4 linked regions of the Saccharomyces cerevisiae S288C genome follow. The gene in region 1 interacts genetically with each later gene. Each region holds a gene or a part of one and is shown in the gene's direction. Other genes may lie near its edges. The genes, in order: UBC6, ETR1, SSM4 and MSH4.

Region 1 (4,488 bases):
TTCACCTACAGAGTTTGTCAAAATTTTAAAAAAAGAAAACGTCTTGTTCAACACTATGATGCAACAAGATGCCCATGAATTTTTAAACTTTTTATTAAATGATTTCAGTGAATATATTCAACGCAATAATCCCAGAATGAGATTCGGACCACAAAAGACAGACAACAGCAACGACAACTTTATAACGGATTTATTCAAAGGTACACTGACGAATAGGATCAAATGTTTAACTTGTGACAATATCACCTCAAGGGACGAACCATTTTTAGACTTTCCAATAGAAGTACAGGGTGATGAAGAGACTGATATCCAGAAGATGTTAAAAAGCTATCATCAGCGTGAGATGTTGAACGGGGTTAACAAATTTTATTGTAACAAATGTTATGGTTTACAAGAAGCAGAACGTATGGTCGGACTGAAGCAACTGCCCCATATTCTGTCATTGCACCTAAAAAGATTCAAGTATTCAGAGGAGCAAAAGTCAAACATCAAACTTTTTAACAAAATACTCTATCCACTAACTTTGGATGTTTCTTCCACTTTTAATACATCAGTATATAAAAAATATGAACTAAGCGGCGTCGTCATCCATATGGGGAGCGGTCCACAGCATGGTCATTACGTATGCATTTGCAGGAACGAAAAGTTTGGGTGGCTTTTGTATGATGACGAAACGGTGGAATCCATAAAAGAAGAAACTGTGTTACAATTCACAGGTCATCCAGGTGATCAAACTACAGCCTACGTTTTATTCTATAAAGAAACACAGGCTGATAAGACCGAAAATCAAAATGAAAATATAGACACTTCTAGTCAAGATCAAATGCAGACTGACAATAACATTGAACAGTTAATAAAATGCGATGATTGGTTAAGGGATCGTAAATTGAGGGCAGCTGCAAATATTGAACGCAAAAAGACCTTGGGGAATATACCTGAAGTTAAGACTGCAGAAACCAAGACGCCATTAAATGATAAAAAACGCAATAAGCAAAAAAGAAAATCGAGAATATTGAGCTTCATCAAATAAATCGGGATTGTTTCGATACATCATATAGTTGAGACCCATCTGTTCTAAAAGTATCAATATTAGTGTACCATTTTTTCTTCCTTTTTTAAATAATTTCCACGTTTCTTTCTATTGTTCCTGATCTTTCGAATTTAGTTGTATTTCACTTCACCTACTGTAATAACTTTTTTTTTTTAGAGCACAATAAAATTTCACATATTTTCCAAAAGCAAGGGCGGTAAATCAGAAAAGATTAAGCTTTAATGAAAATCTCATAGAGACCAGATGAAGAATATTGGTGGCAGCATAAGCGCTAATACTGAATAGATATACGCATTTTTTTTCAAAATATCTGTTAGTACATTTATACAAATATATTCGTTTATACCTCTTCTTTAAACAGGCGCATGTGTAAATAAATATGAGACTGATTCTCCATTATGCAATCTTCTGATAGCTTCTGCAATCGTAGGGCTGATATCCACCTGATCGACAATGTCCAAATCCAAATCAACAGGTACCGTGTTGGTGCAAACAATTCTTGATAACCTACTATTTATTAACTTCTCCCTAGCTGAGCCAGAAAATATACCATGTGTGACAATAGCGATAACCTCCTTAGCACCGTGATCCATTAATGTGTCACAGGCTTTCACCAGCGTACCACACGTGTCAGCCATATCGTCAATCAACAAGCATGACTTACCAGCAACATCACCGACAAGCAGCATTCGCGAAACTTCATTAGCTTTTTGCCTCTCCTTATGAATCAAGGCAAAATTCATATCCAGCTTGTCCGCTAAAGAAGCCACCCTTTTCGCACCACCAGCATCAGGCGATACCAGTATCGCATTATTGAAATCTGTTTTGGTCCTTATGTAATTCAACACACTTGGTTCACCGTATAAATTATCAACCGGGATATGAAAAAACCCTTGAATTTGTGAAGCATGGAGATCCATAGTAATAACATGATCACAACCCGCAGTTTCCAAAAGATTGGCAATCAGCTTCGCAGTGATGGGCGCCCGCGATTTATCCTTCTTATCTTGTCTAGCATAAGGGAAATTTGGTATTACTGCCGTAATTCTTCTGACTGATGCCGTCTTACAAGCGTGAATTAAGATAAGTAATTCCATTAAGAAATCGTTGATTTCATGTTCCCCGTAACCAGTTTGGATGATATATACGTCTTCATCACGAATGCTTTCCCCTATTGTAACAGACGTCTCTTTATTTGAATACTGATATACCCCCACTTTAGATAACGGTACACCAAGCCTTTGGGAAATAAGCTCAGCAAGCCCAGGATGTGAGTTACCAGCTAACAACTTAATACTGTTTGTAGACATATTCAACGAAACTTACGACAAGATAGTCTTTGGATGATGAGGAATATCCTCTTCTTAGCAATCCCTCGATGCCTCCTCATATCATCTATTGTTCAAAATTTTTTCATTGTTGAAAAATAGTCACGTGCTTAACCATTTTGCTGCGCGATTTGGTAGGAGGATAAATACACGGGCATACCGTATCTGTTCAATAGCAACAATGTCGGAGAGAGCTAAACTAGCCAACTCGCCATCCTATTCCACTGGTCGCTTGAGTCGATATCCTTCCACAGCAATATTGCACTTTACAATTAGGATAGCCTCCCCAATAAAATAAGGAAATTTTGGTTATTTGTGTTCAGAAAAAGCCGAAATCGATTGCAGAGAACAGAAAGGAACTTTCCGATTATCACACTTTAGGAGCCGTGATAAAGAAGACTACCATCGCATATCGCAGAAAAGACTTTAAATATTAACTAAAACCGCATTCGCAAATTGCAAACAAAGTACGTACAATAGTAATGGCTACAAAGCAGGCTCACAAGAGATTGACGAAAGAGTACAAGTTGATGGTGGAAAACCCTCCACCATATATTCTTGCTCGCCCCAACGAAGATAATATTTTAGAGTGGCACTATATTATCACAGGACCTGCGGATACTCCTTACAAGGGCGGTCAATATCACGGTACTTTAACTTTCCCGTCTGATTATCCATACAAACCACCGGCTATCAGAATGATAACACCGAATGGACGTTTCAAGCCCAACACACGATTATGCCTTTCTATGAGTGATTACCACCCTGATACTTGGAATCCTGGCTGGTCTGTCTCAACCATTTTGAACGGGTTACTAAGTTTCATGACCAGTGATGAAGCCACGACAGGATCAATTACAACATCAGACCATCAGAAGAAGACATTAGCAAGAAATTCCATAAGTTATAACACTTTTCAAAATGTTAGATTCAAATTGATTTTTCCGGAAGTTGTACAGGAAAATGTAGAGACATTAGAAAAGAGAAAATTGGATGAGGGGGATGCGGCAAATACAGGTGATGAAACAGAAGACCCTTTTACAAAGGCTGCGAAGGAAAAAGTCATCTCGTTGGAGGAAATTCTAGACCCTGAAGACAGAATACGCGCTGAACAAGCGTTGAGACAATCAGAAAATAATTCCAAGAAAGATGGCAAAGAACCTAATGATAGTTCTTCAATGGTTTATATTGGTATCGCTATTTTTTTGTTTTTGGTTGGCCTTTTTATGAAATGAAGCCATTAAATGAACTAAACTTTAGATAAATTTTGACAACACAGAATAGAAATCAATAGTATTATATAGACAAAACGGATCTTTTTATTATGAACATTGTGAATTATTAATTATATTTTTGAGTATGTATTGACCAAGAAACCTCAATAAAAATGAGGTGAAACCTAGGGAGACAGAAACTCCCATTTCAAAAACCTTCAACTTTCATTATAAGCTTACCTTGAGCACGTTGTGTAGCCATATAGGAAAATGCTTCCTTGAAATTTTTCCAGGAATAAACCTTATCAACAACGCAATCTACGACTCCCTCATTTAGCAGCTTGCCGCATTCATGTATCCAATCATTCTTCTTGGGGATAATCTTGATATTGGGGTCAAAGTAAAAATGAGAATAATCGTATGACCATAACATTGATCCAAACATTTTTCTTGCATTGGCGCTAGGGTTATCCCAAGAATCAAAGACGTCTTTCTTATAATTTCCAACATAATCACCAACTGTTGTAATATAAGCACCTTTAGCGTGAATTAAAGAACTCGAGTGACTCAAGATATCATAACCACCGATGAAGTCCAACACGACATTAAATTTACCCTGAGTATAATCTTCGGTTTCTTTGAGAGTATTAAAATCATCATAATCTACAACTTTACCGGTATCCAACATACGTCTGAGTGGTTTACTAGATTTTCCCCTACATGACAGATAATTTATGAAAATGATTTCATCTTTCAAATCCGGGAAATGTTCTGACAGGACTGCTGCACCATTACCTGACGTTACCACTACTAGCTTTTTAGAAACTTTATAGTAACGCTTCAATAACTGGATAGCAAACATCCCTACAGAGCTTGTACCACCGTTTATTAAAAC
Region 2 (4,476 bases), on another chromosome or scaffold:
CTTTAACAAAATTTCTCGCTCGTTTTTATACTTATGACTATATGTAGGAAAATAAACGTGTTGCTCTGTCATGTTACTTCTAAAATATTGAGAGGAGAAAAAAAAAAAAAAAAAAAAAATTATAAACAAATGAAAAAAGGACGTACTGACTAATAGTAAGTAGATCTTTTACCTGGAAGGTGCCCTATGATAAGATTTTTCATCAACCAATCTAGCTGAGCATACTGTTGGCAGTAATTAGGATGATTTTCTCACTAGATGAAGAACTTCATCGTGTGTCACTAGATGATAAAAAGAATGACATTAAAGTAGATTATTCCTCGGCAATATACAATGATATCAATCATGAACAAGGCAGCTCCATCACATATGAGGAGAGTATAAATCACCTCTCGGTTCATTCAAATGCGATTCCGCTAAATGGCATGAGTCCTGCACATAGGATGAGAAGAAGGTCCTCAGCTTATTCCAAATTCCCTATTCTCACTCCACCAAATACGAGAAGATTTTCTATTACAGGTTCGGACGCAATGCGAACTAATACGAATAGACTATCCATAACACCTCAGGACATTATTTCCTCTAATATTGGAGAAAATGAATTATCAAGGAACCTGCACGATTTTAAGCCCGTGAGAGTCCTAGGCCAAGGTGCCTACGGTAAAGTTCTTCTTGTTAAGGACGTCAATACATCCAAGCTGTATGCTATGAAGCAATTACGGAAAGCAGAAATTTTAATTTCTCAAACAGCCACAGATTCCAAGAGAGAAGACGAAGATAAAAATGATGGTAATAACAACGATAATGACGATGGATTATCAAAGAGGCTTGAGAGAACATTTGCCGAACGGTCTATTCTATCTGAAATAGAACATCCAAACATTGTCAAGTTATTTTATTCTTTTCACGATAACTCAAAGTTATATTTACTGCTACAATATATCCCTGGCGGTGAACTATTTTACCACTTGAAGGAACACGGGACCCTAGATGAGACGACAGTTTCGTTTTACGCGGCAGAAATCAGCTGTGCCTTGAGATTTTTGCATACGAAAGGTGTTGTCTATAGAGATTTAAAACCTGAAAACTGTTTATTGAATCAACGTGGACATTTAGTATTGACAGATTTTGGTCTGAGTAAAAAAAGTGCTAATGATTCCGCGGTTGATGAGGAGGATCCAGAGAACGTCAATGCCCTATACTCGATTATCGGTACGCCTGAATACTGTGCGCCTGAAATATTATTAGGTAAAGCTTACAGTCAGAATTGTGATTGGTATTCTTTGGGATGTCTGTTGTATGACATGTTAGTAGGTAAGCCTCCATATACTGGTAGCAATCATAAGGTGATCATTAATAAGATTCAACAAAACAAGCAAGGCCCCAAAATTCCATTTTATCTGAGCGAGGGAATGAAAGATATATTAAACGCGCTGTTGAAGAAGGAAACTGCCAAAAGGTGGAATGTTGACAAATACTGGGCCAAAACCGGGGCTAATAATAAGCCTACTAAGTCTAAGAAGAAGAAATCAGGGGCTGCAAGAACTAGTCTTTTCACTGAACATTTTATCTTTAGAAAAATAGACTGGAAGTTATTAGAATCTGGACAATTGCAAAAAACCACTCTAGGCCCAATTGTTCCAGTTATTACGGATTTGGAACTAGCGGAAAATTTTGACACAGAATTTACTTCTATGTCATATGAGGAAACCTATACGGATAGCAAGCCGATTAATATCAATTCGGTGAGCAAGTCCCCGGATATGTTCAAGGGATTTAGTTATAAAGCAAGTGGTAGCTATTTGGAGAAGTACTTTTGAATTAAAAGTTAGATAGATTAAGAGAGAAGGCTCGGATCTGCACTGACTTACTTTTTTTTGTTTTTTTGATGTTTAAAGGATCTGTGTCACTGTATATACTTTGTTTTGCTTTAGGGTTACGAAACACATTTTTAATATATAATGTATGTAATAATATTAAAAACAACTGTATGGATAATACTTCTGGACCAATCGGTGATACCATCTTCCTTATTTATGGTATTATTATCATTATTGGACCCCGCCGGTGCTTTTTTTTTTACCTTAAAAGAGTGGTTCTCCTCCAAGGGACGCACGAGTGGTGTACCCAGGGGTTGTTTCCATGGCTAAAGAAATTGGAGATTACAAACGTACATTGTCATTTAAGAAGGTTCATAATCTGCCAATTACATTTGATATAACAAGATGCTTCCCACATTCAAACGTTACATGTCGTCCTCAGCTCATCAGATTCCCAAGCACTTCAAATCGCTCATCTATTCAACTCATGAAGTTGAGGATTGTACCAAGGTTTTGTCAGTGAAAAATTATACGCCTAAACAAGACTTATCTCAATCAATTGTGTTAAAAACTTTGGCCTTTCCCATAAACCCTTCGGATATCAATCAGTTGCAAGGAGTATACCCGTCTCGTCCAGAAAAGACATACGATTACTCCACAGATGAGCCAGCCGCTATCGCCGGTAATGAGGGTGTCTTTGAAGTTGTTTCTTTACCTTCGGGAAGTTCCAAGGGAGATTTGAAATTGGGTGACCGAGTTATCCCATTGCAGGCAAATCAAGGGACTTGGTCCAATTATAGAGTTTTCTCTAGTAGTTCTGATTTAATCAAGGTAAATGATTTGGATCTGTTTTCTGCGGCAACTGTATCTGTTAATGGTTGTACCGGTTTCCAATTAGTATCAGACTATATCGACTGGAACAGTAACGGTAATGAATGGATTATCCAAAATGCCGGTACATCTAGTGTATCAAAAATAGTTACGCAAGTAGCAAAAGCTAAAGGGATCAAAACATTAAGTGTTATACGTGACCGTGATAATTTTGATGAGGTAGCAAAAGTTTTGGAGGATAAGTATGGTGCTACGAAGGTTATTTCCGAATCGCAAAACAACGACAAGACTTTTGCCAAAGAAGTATTGTCCAAGATTTTGGGTGAAAATGCAAGGGTGAGGCTTGCCTTGAATTCTGTTGGAGGTAAATCCAGTGCATCAATAGCACGTAAGTTGGAAAATAATGCTTTGATGCTCACTTATGGAGGAATGTCAAAACAACCTGTAACTTTACCAACATCTCTACACATTTTCAAAGGCTTGACATCCAAAGGGTACTGGGTGACTGAAAAGAACAAAAAAAACCCCCAAAGCAAGATTGACACCATCAGTGATTTTATCAAAATGTATAATTATGGTCACATTATTTCACCAAGAGATGAAATTGAAACTCTTACCTGGAATACTAACACTACTACTGACGAACAGTTACTAGAACTAGTCAAAAAAGGTATAACTGGGAAGGGGAAGAAAAAAATGGTTGTTTTAGAATGGTAAGGGCCTTAGCATTGCTCAGAGTTAGACAACCACCAAAGATAGTATTCCTCTTTATGACATCGAGTATAGTTGCTATATAATATATACCAAGACATTAAAAAATATATGCCAGTGCTATCTTTGTAGGAGCTAATAAAAGGGGACGTCGACCCTTCAATGTATATATCGATCCTTTCACATTAGTCAGGACGAGATAATGAGCATGATGTATAAACAAACGGTAGTTAATACCAACGATAAGTTATACAACTACTGTACAATAAAAAAACATCACAATAGCAATACAGGAGTCCTATTCGCTACTTCAACTTGACAAGATCTACTAGATATAGAAATATCTAGCTTAATCAACAATTTTCCTCACTGATTGCTTCCTCCGAATGCCATTATTGGCTTTCTTGGTTCTTAAGCATGATATTACGTATAAATAGCCATTATATCAATTAGAACAAAAGATTACGTAAATGCAATTTTTCCTGAGAATGGCGTTCGAAGAAGGGCGCGTAACTCGTAGAAACCTAAGAATTCTCGTAGAGCGAAGTCTTCGGTAGGAAACGTAGTAGATTTGCAGAAGATACGCCTGTTAAACTGAAGAAAACAAATCTGAGTAGTTTCCCTTCTTTGGAGTTGAGCTTTACAACAAGTTCATATTGTTGGTGCCAATTTGCCTTGAGACAACTAAGGCAGAATGCAGTTGTTGCGTGTTACTTAATTCTCCGTATTGAATGACCACGCACAATTCCTAATTTTTTTTTTTTCTCGAAAATTCTTTTTTTTTTCACTGAAAAAATTTTTTCAAGGGCCATCCCAGCGATTTTATGACCCAAAAGGAAGGATGCAGTGAAAGTCAACTTACGTCTTCTCTCTCATACCTTTCGTTGCGAGAAATCGTATTTAGTAGTGTATTCAGTTGATAATTAGTACTAATTTTTTATTGCATTTTGCCTTTTTTAGCTTTTTGTGTTACTTCTAGTATCCGTAAAAACAATCAAATAAATAGCACTGTAAAACATGCCTCCAAAGAAGCAAGTCGAAGAAAAAAAGGTCTTATTGGGTCGTCCAGGTAATAACTTGAAAGCCGGTATTGTCGGTTTGGCCAATGTTGGTA
Region 3 (7,471 bases), on another chromosome or scaffold:
TTATCGCCTGCAGAAATAACAAAAGTGACACATATTGGTACAGGTACTAAACCGATGCTAACCGTACTAAAACAATTTACCACCCGGCTCGAGTTTTTTATTCTTCACAAACTTTTTCTGCATTTAATTGTGATGAATAACGAATAACTATTTCCTTGATCACCTCAGTAATCGCGAAACGTGCATTTGTGGTAGCAACAGTTTTAATGACAGTAGCATAGCCTATTGCACCTCCACATGAAGAAGCTACCAGTCCACCGCCAGAAATAGACAAAATGGTAACATCGCTTACATTAATTAGCCCTAATACAAAAGGTTGCCATTTGCTAATTTGTTTTGGTCGTCGAAAACCATTTGTGTCGTCGTTAACCTTTCCATTTATTATTCCAGCAATAAGAGCAAACCCCAATGAGACAGTACAAGCTGTAAGGGGAACATGCCCTATTACCAGCCCAAATGACCAATTGACTAACCAATCACCACACACACCCGCAGCTGTGTTGCGTGCGACGTTACCCAATGTTATGGTAATGGCTTGCTATATACTGACTCGTTCAGGTGAATAGAGAAAACCCGTATCACCGTAAACCCATCAGTGACCGTTTTAATTACCACAGCTGTTGCTAGCGAGTAAAAACCCTTTTCACCACTGGTATATAATATGTTCATCGTAAACAACCAATTGGCAACTATCCGGGAGGTCACGGCTGCGCTGCATACTTTTAAAACAGCTTGACGTGGATTAGACCAATTCACCATACGTTTGGAAAACATACTGGCCATTATCCAAGGTGTAAGTATAACGTCAAAGCTGCAATCAACTGTAGAATCTCTTCCTAACACATTTCTATATAACGCAACCAACATTATCATTGGAAATGGCATACAAACAACGCGTCTGAATAACCTTGCATCGTCCATGTTATTGCCTTTTCTACACCACGCAGCACCTCTTTAATGCAGCAGCCGTCACTATTTGCATTGACGCATGTCTTCATCCTTGAATGCCTGGCGATAGTATAGGTAAATTAGTTAAATACAGCTTTGAGTAATTAGGCATGTACTTCCTCTGATTTAGTGACAGGTTCAATTGTTAAAGTATTCCCATTAGGCCAAGTTAAAAAGCGAAATTTATTTTGTTTTACAGATTTCCATTGAGTTTTTATGCCTAAGGGCGTGTTTTTTCAGCTCGTAAAATCATGAAGTTGTAGCACGCTGGCTCACCATGACAATTCCAATGGTGCGGTTCAATCAATTCACTGAGGTAGAATGGTGGACCATGATATTCAGAAATAGGTAAGTCCTGAGGTAATGATTAGGATTTAACTGTTGACTCTATTATAAGGTATACAGAATATACTGGCATAAAACAAGGATCATTAACACGCTAAACAGGGTGTTGTTTAATATCATGAATGCGCAAATAAGCCCTTTTTGCTGCAGCAAACTTTATGTACCAAGATCTTAAAGGGACTCGTTACCAAGATGCGAGTGAGTAGTCTATTATTAGAGAGTAGATCAGCTTCCGCCGCTTCCTTTTTTAACGGGAAAAAAAGTAGAAGCTGGGACAACTTTTTCGCTGCCAATAATAATTAAAAAGAAGGACCCTTTTTTCATTATAGGTATATTTGTTAAATATTTCCATTCCTAAGACAATCAACAACGCAGTTATGCAAACCATCAAAGAGGGCAAATGAACTATTCCCGCTCTTCGTAAGGATGCTGTATTACCGCCGTTAGCCATCAGAATTACTATAAAAACAATGCGGTTAATTTTCATTGCGAAAATGCTTCAATATTCATTTCTACCATTTTCCCCGTTCAATCTTTTGAATTTTGATAATAGTATAAGCGTAAGCTGGTTTATAACATACTCAGTGATCGTTTCCATTTGGGGGTTTGCTGTGTGGATTGAAGGAGCATATAGGAATAAGATTAATCTACAGCTTCCAAGATGTACGAAGATAAAATGCTCCCGCTACAATACGAGAATAAAATCCCCCAAGTGGTTCAACTGTAAAAATTGGATGCATTTTTTCCTATTATACCTTTTTCTAACCGCTTCTAACTTAATTGTTCAATTGGCCTATTTTTCAAAAGAAATGTGTAGTCAGGGTATAAACGTTCCTGGAACGAAGAAACCAGGTAATAGAGTTTATTTATCGGTTATCATACTAATGGGGAACGGGTGATAGAACTTTTACCAATGAAAAGAAATCAGCAGGCCATAATTTGGCTTTATTAAAATTAATAACATTATGGTGCTGTTGCGTTTATTAAAACAGACTAAAGCTGTTGGAATGAAATTCTAATGTTATCTATTTAGTAGTAATAGCATCACATGCGGTGTAAGAGGATGGCGTAAATTATGAGAAGCTGTCATCGAGGTTAGAGGAAGCTGAAATACAAAAATTGATAATGTAATAGGAGAATGAAACATATAAAACGGAATGAGGAATAATCGTAATATTAGTATATAGAAATATAGATTCCATTATGAGGATTCCTAGATCCTCGAGGAGAACTTCTAGTATATTCCGTATACATAATATTATAAGCCTTTATCAACAATGGAACCCCCAACAATTATCTCAAAATTCACCCATATCTTAATTAGTAACATGAATAGTACTAAACAGATGATATTTTAAAGTTTCATTCCAACAAGCATCTTAAATGTGCTATTACTTCCTAAAATAAGTAGTTTTTCCAACGAAATAGCCTTGTTGGCGCAATCGGTAGCGCGTATGACTCTTAATCATAAGGTTAGGGGTTCGAGCCCCCTACAGGGCTATCTTTTTACCATTTTCAATTCAATAGAAAAATTAAATCATTAGAGACGGAAAACTGGTTGAAAACGCATCGATTGAGGACATTGAAAAGATGATTATGACCGATCTATGAAGCCATAAGATTACGTTAAGAATAGTTCTTTGTTACTGATTTCAAAAACTGTTTTTTTAGCCAAGAGTACCACTAATTGAATCAAAGAGACTAGAAGTGTGAAAGTCATGGATGTTGATTCTGACGTTAATGTCTCCAGGTTAAGAGATGAACTGCATAAGGTGGCAAACGAGGAAACAGATACCGCCACTTTCAATGATGATGCGCCATCCGGCGCCACCTGCCGTATTTGTCGTGGAGAAGCTACTGAGGACAATCCTCTTTTCCATCCTTGTAAATGCAGGGGCTCAATTAAATACATGCATGAATCCTGTCTGTTGGAATGGGTAGCTTCAAAAAATATAGACATTTCAAAACCAGGCGCGGATGTTAAATGTGACATCTGTCACTATCCCATTCAATTCAAAACGATATATGCGGAAAACATGCCCGAAAAGATACCTTTTTCTTTACTACTATCCAAGAGCATCTTGACATTTTTCGAAAAAGCTCGTTTGGCTTTAACGATTGGTTTGGCCGCTGTACTATATATTATCGGTGTTCCTTTGGTATGGAACATGTTTGGAAAATTATACACCATGATGCTAGATGGATCATCCCCTTATCCTGGTGATTTCCTAAAGAGTTTGATTTATGGTTATGATCAGTCAGCAACTCCAGAATTAACCACGAGAGCAATTTTTTACCAACTTTTACAAAACCATTCGTTTACGTCTTTACAATTTATTATGATAGTGATACTACATATAGCATTGTACTTTCAATACGATATGATAGTAAGAGAGGATGTTTTCAGTAAAATGGTTTTCCACAAGATAGGTCCAAGATTATCTCCCAAGGACTTGAAATCACGTTTGAAGGAAAGATTCCCCATGATGGATGATAGAATGGTTGAATATTTAGCGAGGGAAATGAGAGCTCATGACGAAAATCGTCAAGAGCAAGGTCATGATAGACTGAACATGCCAGCCGCAGCAGCAGATAATAATAATAATGTTATTAATCCCAGAAACGATAACGTTCCACCTCAGGATCCTAATGACCATCGGAATTTTGAAAACCTTCGCCACGTAGACGAATTAGATCATGATGAGGCTACGGAAGAGCACGAGAACAACGACTCTGACAATAGTTTACCATCAGGTGATGATTCGTCACGAATTTTACCGGGGTCTTCAAGTGACAACGAAGAAGATGAAGAAGCAGAGGGGCAACAGCAACAGCAGCAACCAGAAGAAGAGGCAGATTACCGTGATCATATAGAGCCCAATCCGATTGACATGTGGGCAAATCGTCGTGCGCAAAATGAATTTGATGACCTAATCGCTGCTCAACAGAACGCAATAAACAGGCCCAACGCTCCGGTTTTCATCCCACCACCTGCCCAAAACAGAGCTGGAAATGTCGATCAAGACGAACAAGACTTTGGCGCAGCTGTTGGTGTGCCACCAGCACAGGCTAACCCAGACGATCAAGGACAAGGCCCTCTAGTGATAAATCTCAAATTGAAATTGTTGAATGTCATTGCTTATTTCATAATTGCCGTAGTTTTCACCGCAATATACCTGGCAATTTCCTATTTGTTTCCAACTTTTATTGGGTTCGGTTTGTTGAAAATTTATTTTGGTATATTTAAGGTTATTTTGCGTGGGTTGTGCCATCTTTACTACTTGTCTGGCGCTCATATAGCTTACAATGGGCTGACGAAACTGGTCCCTAAAGTAGATGTCGCGATGAGTTGGATTTCAGACCACTTAATTCATGACATCATTTATCTTTACAACGGCTACACTGAAAACACCATGAAGCACTCAATTTTCATCAGAGCTTTACCTGCTTTAACGACGTATCTAACCTCAGTCAGTATCGTTTGTGCTTCATCCAATCTTGTCTCGAGGGGTTATGGCCGTGAGAACGGAATGAGCAACCCTACTAGAAGGCTGATTTTCCAGATTTTATTTGCACTCAAATGCACTTTCAAGGTGTTCACTTTATTTTTCATCGAATTGGCTGGATTCCCCATTCTAGCTGGTGTAATGCTAGATTTCTCATTATTTTGCCCAATCCTGGCATCCAATAGTCGGATGCTTTGGGTTCCTTCAATATGCGCAATATGGCCTCCATTTTCCCTTTTCGTATACTGGACGATTGGTACTCTCTACATGTATTGGTTTGCCAAATATATCGGAATGATTAGGAAAAATATCATTAGACCAGGTGTTCTATTCTTTATCAGATCTCCAGAAGATCCTAATATTAAGATCTTGCATGATAGTTTAATTCATCCGATGAGTATTCAATTATCAAGGCTTTGCTTATCCATGTTTATTTATGCGATTTTTATTGTCTTAGGTTTTGGCTTCCATACTAGAATTTTTTTCCCATTCATGCTCAAATCGAACTTATTATCCGTTCCTGAAGCTTATAAACCAACATCAATTATTTCATGGAAGTTCAATACAATTTTGCTAACTTTATATTTTACGAAGAGGATCCTGGAGTCTAGCTCTTACGTTAAACCCTTATTGGAAAGGTATTGGAAAACAATTTTTAAGTTATGTTCAAGAAAATTACGTTTATCATCCTTTATCTTAGGTAAAGATACCCCAACAGAGAGAGGCCATATTGTTTACCGCAATTTGTTTTACAAGTACATTGCTGCCAAGAATGCAGAATGGTCAAACCAAGAACTTTTCACTAAACCAAAGACTCTAGAACAAGCAGAAGAATTGTTTGGGCAAGTTCGTGACGTTCATGCTTATTTTGTCCCCGATGGCGTTTTAATGCGTGTTCCTTCTTCTGATATAGTATCCAGAAATTATGTACAAACAATGTTTGTCCCCGTTACAAAGGATGATAAGCTGTTGAAACCATTAGATTTGGAAAGAATTAAAGAGAGAAACAAACGTGCTGCTGGTGAATTTGGTTATTTAGACGAACAAAACACGGAATATGATCAATATTATATCGTTTACGTCCCTCCAGATTTCCGTTTACGCTATATGACATTGCTTGGCCTGGTTTGGTTATTTGCTTCCATTTTAATGCTTGGTGTTACATTTATTAGTCAAGCTTTAATAAACTTTGTTTGTAGTTTCGGCTTTCTTCCAGTCGTAAAGCTATTGTTAGGTGAAAGAAATAAGGTCTATGTTGCATGGAAGGAACTCTCTGACATTAGCTACTCCTATTTGAACATTTATTATGTCTGTGTCGGATCTGTTTGTTTATCCAAGATTGCTAAGGATATTCTTCATTTTACAGAAGGCCAAAACACTCTCGATGAACATGCCGTTGACGAAAACGAAGTAGAGGAAGTGGAACACGATATACCAGAGAGAGATATCAACAATGCCCCTGTTAATAATATCAATAATGTGGAAGAGGGTCAAGGAATTTTCATGGCCATCTTTAACAGTATATTTGATAGTATGTTGGTGAAGTATAACCTGATGGTGTTTATAGCTATCATGATTGCGGTTATTAGAACTATGGTTTCGTGGGTCGTCTTAACCGATGGTATACTAGCCTGTTACAATTATCTCACCATCAGAGTGTTTGGCAATTCTTCATACACTATTGGTAATTCCAAATGGTTTAAATATGACGAGAGTTTGTTATTCGTCGTTTGGATCATTTCGTCAATGGTCAATTTCGGAACCGGATATAAGTCATTGAAACTATTTTTCAGAAACAGAAATACTAGTAAATTGAACTTCTTGAAAACAATGGCTTTGGAACTGTTTAAACAAGGTTTCCTGCACATGGTAATTTACGTCTTGCCGATTATTATTTTATCCTTAGTATTTTTACGTGATGTTTCTACAAAGCAGATTATCGATATTAGCCATGGATCCAGGAGTTTCACTTTATCGCTTAACGAATCATTCCCAACATGGACAAGGATGCAAGATATTTATTTCGGACTACTGATAGCATTAGAGTCATTTACGTTCTTTTTCCAAGCAACTGTGCTGTTCATTCAATGGTTCAAAAGTACTGTACAGAATGTAAAAGACGAGGTTTACACTAAGGGTAGAGCTTTAGAAAATTTACCAGATGAAAGTTAAAGGCGTTTTCTTCCTTACATTTAAAATGAATGCTAGCATATTTACATATATATATCTACATTAAGTTATATGTTTTTCCACTGTTTTATTTCTTATTGTTAGAATTATAGAAAAAAAATTTTTGTAAAACATTTCATTAGAAAAATTTACCATTCTGAATACGAAAGAACAAAATAAAAAATATGCCTATTTATGTGAGTATGTATATTACTAGTTATTTTATTGCTGTTACTATTATTATGCGAGAATGTTAAAAAAATAAAAATAAAGAGGAAAAGAATAAAAAATATAAAACTATGCGTGCGAGTGCTTTCAAGGGTCTTCATCTTCCAAGAGTATAGGATTATCTCTGCCCTCATCCCAAACAGAATCTTGAGACTGGTTATTTTCATCTCCATAATTAGAGAGAAGTTGTGCATTTGATCCCTTGCTTGTCGCGCTGGTTCTTGGAATACCCCTAGTTGGACTACTAAATGCCACATCATCAATATCAACCAACT
Region 4 (6,028 bases), on another chromosome or scaffold:
TCTTTTAGCCTCTGAATGATCGTACTGACTGTAATTTCAAATGTATCAGCAGATGTACTTCCGTCGTACTCAAGGTTGGCAAGAGCTATCCAATCCTTTAATTCTTGATTGTTAGTTTGCATTTTGGACACACTTTTACAAAGGACTGTAAGGATGTCAGCATAATTAATTTCTAAAATTTGTTTTACCCATGTTGGCAATAAATGAAATGGGGCAAATGCTTGGAAGGTATTGTATATATACGCATGTTCTTCATAAGTCATTTGACTTTTGATTTCACCCTGGTCATTTGGAATGATGTCACCGAGATTAGAGTTCTTCAAAAATCTGATGTAAAATTTAACCCATGTAGAAAAGTTTTCTTCTGATGTTAAAGTGTGTGGTGGTAAGACGTTATTTCTCACCTTTGTCTCAGCTTGAGGTACTTCAGAGTGTTGATTCTGTGAATCGATTGGATCAGGTGAGGAAGTACTCAGTGGTGGGATATACTGTGGCAACGGATAGTGTGGGTCCGGTTGATAATACGCAGGTGACGTTTGATAATGTGAACACGTCATCATAGACGGTTGTTGGTAATGTGCCCAGTTAGAGGCCATAGCTTTGTTTGGGGTCATCATGCCGTGCTGTTGGTACTGTCCATTCTGTGGAGGTGGTACTGAAGCAGGTTGAGGAGAGACATGATGATGGTTCTCTGGAACAGCTGATGTCCCAGGTGTTGTCTCTTGTTGAGAATTAACCTTAGTGGAATCTCTATCAAATTCCGGTAAATTGGAAGCTGAAACGGCTAACGGATCTTGATTTGATGGGACTTCCTTAGAAGTAACCGAAGCATAGGCGCTACCATGTAGAGAATGTGGATTTTGATGTAATTGTTGGGATTCCATTTTTGATAAGGCAATAATATTAGGTATGTAGATATACTAGAAGTTCTCCTCGAGGATTTAGGAATCCATAAAAGGGAATCTGCAATTCTACACAATTCTATAAATATTATTATCATCATTTTATATGTTAATATTCATTGATCCTATTACATTATCAATCCTTGCGTTTCAGCTTCCACTAATTTAGATGACTATTTCTCATCATTTGCGTCATCTTCTAACACCGTATATGATAATATACTAGTAACGTAAATACTAGTTAGTAGATGATAGTTGATTTTTATTCCAACATATACAGAATATGCTAGAAGTTCTCCTCGAGGATTTAGGAATTCTCAAAATGGAATCCATATTTCTACATACTAATGTTAGACTATTCCGTTTTATATGTTTCATTATCCTATTACATTATCAATCCTTGCATTTCAGCTTCTTCTAACTTCGATGACAGCTTCTCATAACTTATGTCATCATCTAACACTGTATATGATAATATATTGAATAACTATTAGTTGATAGATGATAGTGGATTTTTATTCCAGAGGTTTGCGATGCCTTTGAGAAATCAGGATTGTTTTGGTATGGGATGACATTGTTTTACGTAGTCTATTCCGTTTTAAGAGTTGCAGAACTCAAAAGTGACTGACTCCATGGCCAAGTTGGTTAAGGCGTGCGACTGTTAATCGCAAGATCGTGAGTTCAACCCTCACTGGGGTCGTTTTTTTATTCAAAATCAGTTTCTAAGATTTAGATTTTATTGTATCATATCTTTTTCCATACTGAAATCGATTAAAGTTTTTATGTGTTGCATCTGTATGAGAGCAAAATCTTATTTAGTCTCCTCTTTTCTGCTATGAACCAGTTTATTATTTTTTTTTAATTCGCGTCTTCATTTCCTTTTCAAATCCCGAACGTACAGCTTTCATACATATAAGGCATCAACGAAGAATAGCAAAAGAGCAGTTGGATTTTACTTAAAGTGAAACATATAAAAATAACTAGTTATAGCATTGAAATCTGTAGCTGATCAACGCAAACTATATGCAATGAGTGAATCTAATCTATCTAGTTTTATCAGTACAAATTATTTCAATTTAAGGTCGGCGGCTAATTCTTCAAACTCTATTTCGAAGCCAAGTACGAAAAAGAGTATCAGGAACCAAAAATCGCCAACTAACATAAGTAGTTGGGCTCTCAAAAAGAAAACGCTACAAATAGCAGAGACAACATGGGAAAACAATGAAAAAGATTCAACACATAGCCATTACTTAATGACTGGATCAATGGCCTCTAGGACCGCAACCTCCTTAAGTCGATACAGCACCAACGCTTCACTCCTCGGTCCTAGTATTGACTGTGTTCTTTGTTGCATATACGAAGTGCCAAGAGACATAAGTACGCGGATTGGGTTATGTATTATCAACTGTAACACGGGACAGATGTATCTTTCAGATTTCATGGATTCACAAATTTACATTCGTGTAGTTCATAAACTCCAAATTTACCAACCTACGGAAATACTGATTCCAAGCAGTTCTCTAGCTCCAACAGTATCAAAATTAGCGACAATGATAAAATTTAATGTGGCCGAGACAGTTAAAATTGAAGAGGGTTCACGAAAGTGCTTCAATAGCCAAGATGGACTGGCGGCGATTACAAAGTATTTAATGGATGATACAAAAAAGGACTTGAAAATCGAGGAGATTATAGATAAAACGTTTGCTCTTTGTGCTGCATCTGCTGCGATAAGCTACATGGAAGAGATTATATCCAAAAGCAGCCGAAATTTGAATGCGTTTCGAAAACTACGTATACAGTTTGAAGGAACAGAAAATACAATGCTGATTGATTCTAAAACCGTCAGAGGTTTAGAACTTGTAGAAAATAAATTGGATAAGAATGGCATATCACTATGGAAGTTCTTGGATACCACGTCCACTAAAATGGGACAAAGATCACTTCGGAACAGTATACTGCAGCCATTAACTGATAGGGGCAGTATCGAAATGAGACTAGAGGCCCTAGAAGAATTGAAAGCCAATGATGACCTTCTACAAAAATTAAGGCTAGAAATGAAATCATTGCCTGATCTAGATAAGTTATTTTCAAGGTTATTATGCATTAATCATTCTGCAATAAAACCTGACCAAAGAATTAATTACGTTTTGTTGCTAAAGGAAACTTTACAAAGCGTGAAGTCATTGAAAGACGCACTTAATGATCAGTTAATTCAAAGCCGTTTAATTAGCGAGACCAAAAAAATATTCAATAATGACGCAATTATGGAAATTGAAAAATTAATTAATAGTTGTATAAATGAAGACTGTGTCTGGGCATCCTCAGCTATACAACTACTTAACCAACGTTCATATGCTGTGAAAAGTGATTCCAATGGGCTTTTGGATGTTTCTAGACAAATCTACAAAGAGGTAAAAGAGGAATTTTTTCGTGAGGTAGAAGATCTTACCGCTAAAAACAAAATCAATTTAGATCATAATTACGATTCTGCACGAGGCTTTTATCTCAGAATAAAAAGACAGGAATTTACCGATGACGTCGCTACACTTCCAGACGTATTCATTTCAAGAACAATAAAAAAAAATTATATTGAATGTACAACCCTAAATATAATAAAAAAAAATGCGAGGTTGAAGGAAGTTATGGAAGAGATTTTACTTTTAAGTGAAGAGACAGTTGATGAACTGCTCGATAAAATTGCAACCCATATTTCTGAACTATTTATGATTGCAGAAGCAGTGGCTATCCTGGATTTGGTTTGTTCATTCACATATAATTTGAAAGAAAATAATTACACAATACCGATTTTTACAAACAATCTACTAATTCGAGATTCAAGACACCCACTACTTGAAAAGGTACTAAAAAATTTTGTCCCTAACACCATATCAAGTACAAAACATAGCTCCAGCTTACAAATCATAACCGGATGCAACATGAGTGGAAAATCTGTTTATTTAAAACAAGTTGCCCTTATTTGCATAATGGCCCAAATGGGATCAGGTATACCGGCACTTTATGGGTCTTTTCCTGTCTTTAAACGTCTACATGCAAGAGTCTGCAATGACAGTATGGAATTAACCTCATCAAATTTTGGTTTTGAAATGAAAGAAATGGCTTACTTTTTAGATGACATAAATACAGAAACACTGTTAATTTTAGATGAACTTGGTCGTGGTTCAAGCATCGCTGATGGGTTTTGTGTGTCTTTGGCAGTAACTGAACATTTACTTCGAACGGAGGCAACGGTATTTCTTTCTACACACTTCCAGGACATTCCTAAAATAATGTCTAAGAAGCCAGCAGTTTCCCATCTTCATATGGATGCAGTCCTTCTCAATGACAATTCTGTCAAAATGAATTATCAGTTGACCCAGAAATCTGTCGCAATAGAGAATAGTGGAATAAGGGTGGTAAAAAAAATATTCAACCCGGATATTATTGCAGAAGCGTACAATATCCATTCGCTTTTGAAAATTGCAAAAGCAAGGACTGAAAACGAAGATTCAAATGGCGTTGTTGATCAAAAGACCATAAACCAAATGAAGAGAATACACAATCTTGTAGCGATATTGAAAGAATGTGCAGGAAATGAAAAAGAGCCCTTGACTTTAGGGAAATTAAAAGAAATAAACTCCGACTTCATCGAAAATTTTGAAGAATAATTTGGCTTTTCCGCTTAGCTTAAAACTATAATCCATTATTTCTGTACAGAGTTATCAAAAACCGGAGAAAATGATGTTTATGTAAATGCATTGATATTTATGAATGATTTAAAACTTCCCCTTAAATGTGATTTCTAAAAGTAAGCAATTGTTAGCAGATGATAATTTTTTGCTACACATTACAAACATAAAAACACATGGTCTCAGTAGATAGAGTACATATTCTAATCACTGCTTGGCCCCATTAACTTGAATAGATAATTTTGAAGTGGCCTTAATACTTCTGGTATTCTTTCAGGAACTTCTAAATTCTGTATTTGCAACTCTTGACGAGACTTTGCTGCATTTCTAAACGCCATAACAAAATTAACCACTAAAGTGACAAATAAAACTATAGAAACCAAAACTGGACCAAGTGGTGCATCTAGATGTTGACCGCTTCTTTGTTGAATAATATCAACTCTTTTCATATAAATGGAATAGGACCATAAAGCACAGAATATCGTTAGACCAAAATATACGTATGCCATGTAGTTAGCCAAAGTGGGGTATTCGGCTTTCTTCACAGAATTATAAATTGAGAACGTCAAAACACTCAATAAACTGGTGACACTTAACCATCTGTTAAATGTACGTTCGTTGGCAAGCCAAACCTTTGCCTCCACGTTTACAGGACCAGCATTTTTTAACAAATTTAATGGTTTTTTCACACCAGGTGGCAATTCAATTTCTTCTTCTTCAGAATCCACCCCCATTAACTTTGGATCTCTACCGGCCAAAATTCTCAAGAAAGTGGCCTTGGGTTTTCTTCTCCGAACTTTCTTTGATCTTTTCGAATGAGGTTCTTGCTCAGTTTCCTCATCGGATGAACCGTCTGCCTCCAAATCACCTTGAGAGGTAATACGCTCATTTTCCTCTTGAGATACCGGTACTGCTGCTTGATGTTGAGGCTCTTTTAAGTTGGAAAGCCTTCTCATTCCATCAATTTTCTTTTGTATCTCTTTTTGTTTCAACAGTTTTTTCTTTTCCTCCTCATATGCTTGCTTAGGATCCTGTCTAATATCTGTTTCCAAATCTGGTAACCAAAATGGTAAGATATCTAATTTTTCATCATCTCCATACAATGATGCCACACCTTGCACAAAGATAGAAAACTTTGGAATTTCTTTGACCAAATGAGAATTTGTCAAATCGTTCAGCCATTGACCATGCTTTTTAGGCAGTTTTACATTAGAAATCATAGAACTGGCAGACATCGAAGAATCTAATGAACTTTTCACTTTAATTTCCATTACTGAATAAGGAAACTTAGCATACTCGCCTCCTCTCAGGAATTTCAAGGGATTTGCAACATTGGCATCAATATCAGTTCTATGCCAGGTATTAGGGTCTCTAATTGGACGCTCTCTGTCGAATGAATCCTCCTTGATGAATACAATATTAGAGTCAATGGTTACTCTT

The links.
Region 2: mutations in UBC6 (region 1) and ETR1 together harm fitness more than expected from each alone (negative genetic interaction), as found in Saccharomyces cerevisiae (2 studies listed by BioGRID).
Region 3: of UBC6 (region 1) and SSM4, a mutation in one rescues a mutant of the other (synthetic rescue), as found in Saccharomyces cerevisiae (one study listed by BioGRID).
Region 4: mutations in UBC6 (region 1) and MSH4 together harm fitness more than expected from each alone (negative genetic interaction), as found in Saccharomyces cerevisiae (2 studies listed by BioGRID).

What each region holds. Positions count from the first base shown.
Region 1 is NC_001137.3:356,701-361,188, forward strand, and holds UBC6 (E2 ubiquitin-conjugating protein UBC6), read left to right. Parts: upstream 1-2,861; coding exon 2,862-3,614; downstream 3,615-4,488. Other genes in the region: putative ubiquitin-specific protease UBP9, read left to right, coding at 1-1,030; ribose phosphate diphosphokinase subunit PRS2, read right to left, coding at 1,405-2,361; AST2 (Ast2p), read right to left, coding at 3,802-4,488. UniProt on the Saccharomyces cerevisiae protein: Catalyzes the covalent attachment of ubiquitin to other proteins. Functions in degradation of misfolded or regulated proteins localized in the endoplasmic reticulum (ER) lumen or membrane via the ubiquitin-proteasome system.
Region 2 is NC_001134.8:291,769-296,244, reverse strand, and holds ETR1 (enoyl-[acyl-carrier-protein] reductase), read left to right. Parts: upstream 1-2,225; coding exon 2,226-3,368; downstream 3,369-4,476. Other genes in the region: putative protein kinase YPK3, read left to right, coding at 243-1,820; YBR027C (uncharacterized protein), read left to right, coding at 1,889-2,221; OLA1 (Obg-like ATPase), read left to right, coding at 4,380-4,476. UniProt on the Saccharomyces cerevisiae protein: Catalyzes the NADPH-dependent reduction of trans-2-enoyl thioesters in mitochondrial fatty acid synthesis (fatty acid synthesis type II).
Region 3 is NC_001141.2:295,550-303,020, reverse strand, and holds SSM4 (E3 ubiquitin-protein ligase SSM4), read left to right. Parts: upstream 1-3,011; coding exon 3,012-6,971; downstream 6,972-7,471. Other genes in the region: EMA17 (Ema17p), read left to right, coding at 1,764-2,192; SUMO protease ULP2, read right to left, coding at 7,284-7,471. UniProt on the Saccharomyces cerevisiae protein: E3 ubiquitin-protein ligase which accepts ubiquitin specifically from endoplasmic reticulum-associated UBC6 and UBC7 E2 ligases, and transfers it to substrates promoting their degradation.
Region 4 is NC_001138.5:133,060-139,087, reverse strand, and holds MSH4 (MutS family protein MSH4), read left to right. Parts: upstream 1-1,930; coding exon 1,931-4,567; downstream 4,568-6,028. Other genes in the region: YFL002W-B (gag protein), read right to left, coding at 1-884; VTC2 (vacuolar transporter chaperone), read right to left, coding at 4,792-6,028. UniProt on the Saccharomyces cerevisiae protein: Involved in meiotic recombination. Facilitate crossovers between homologs during meiosis.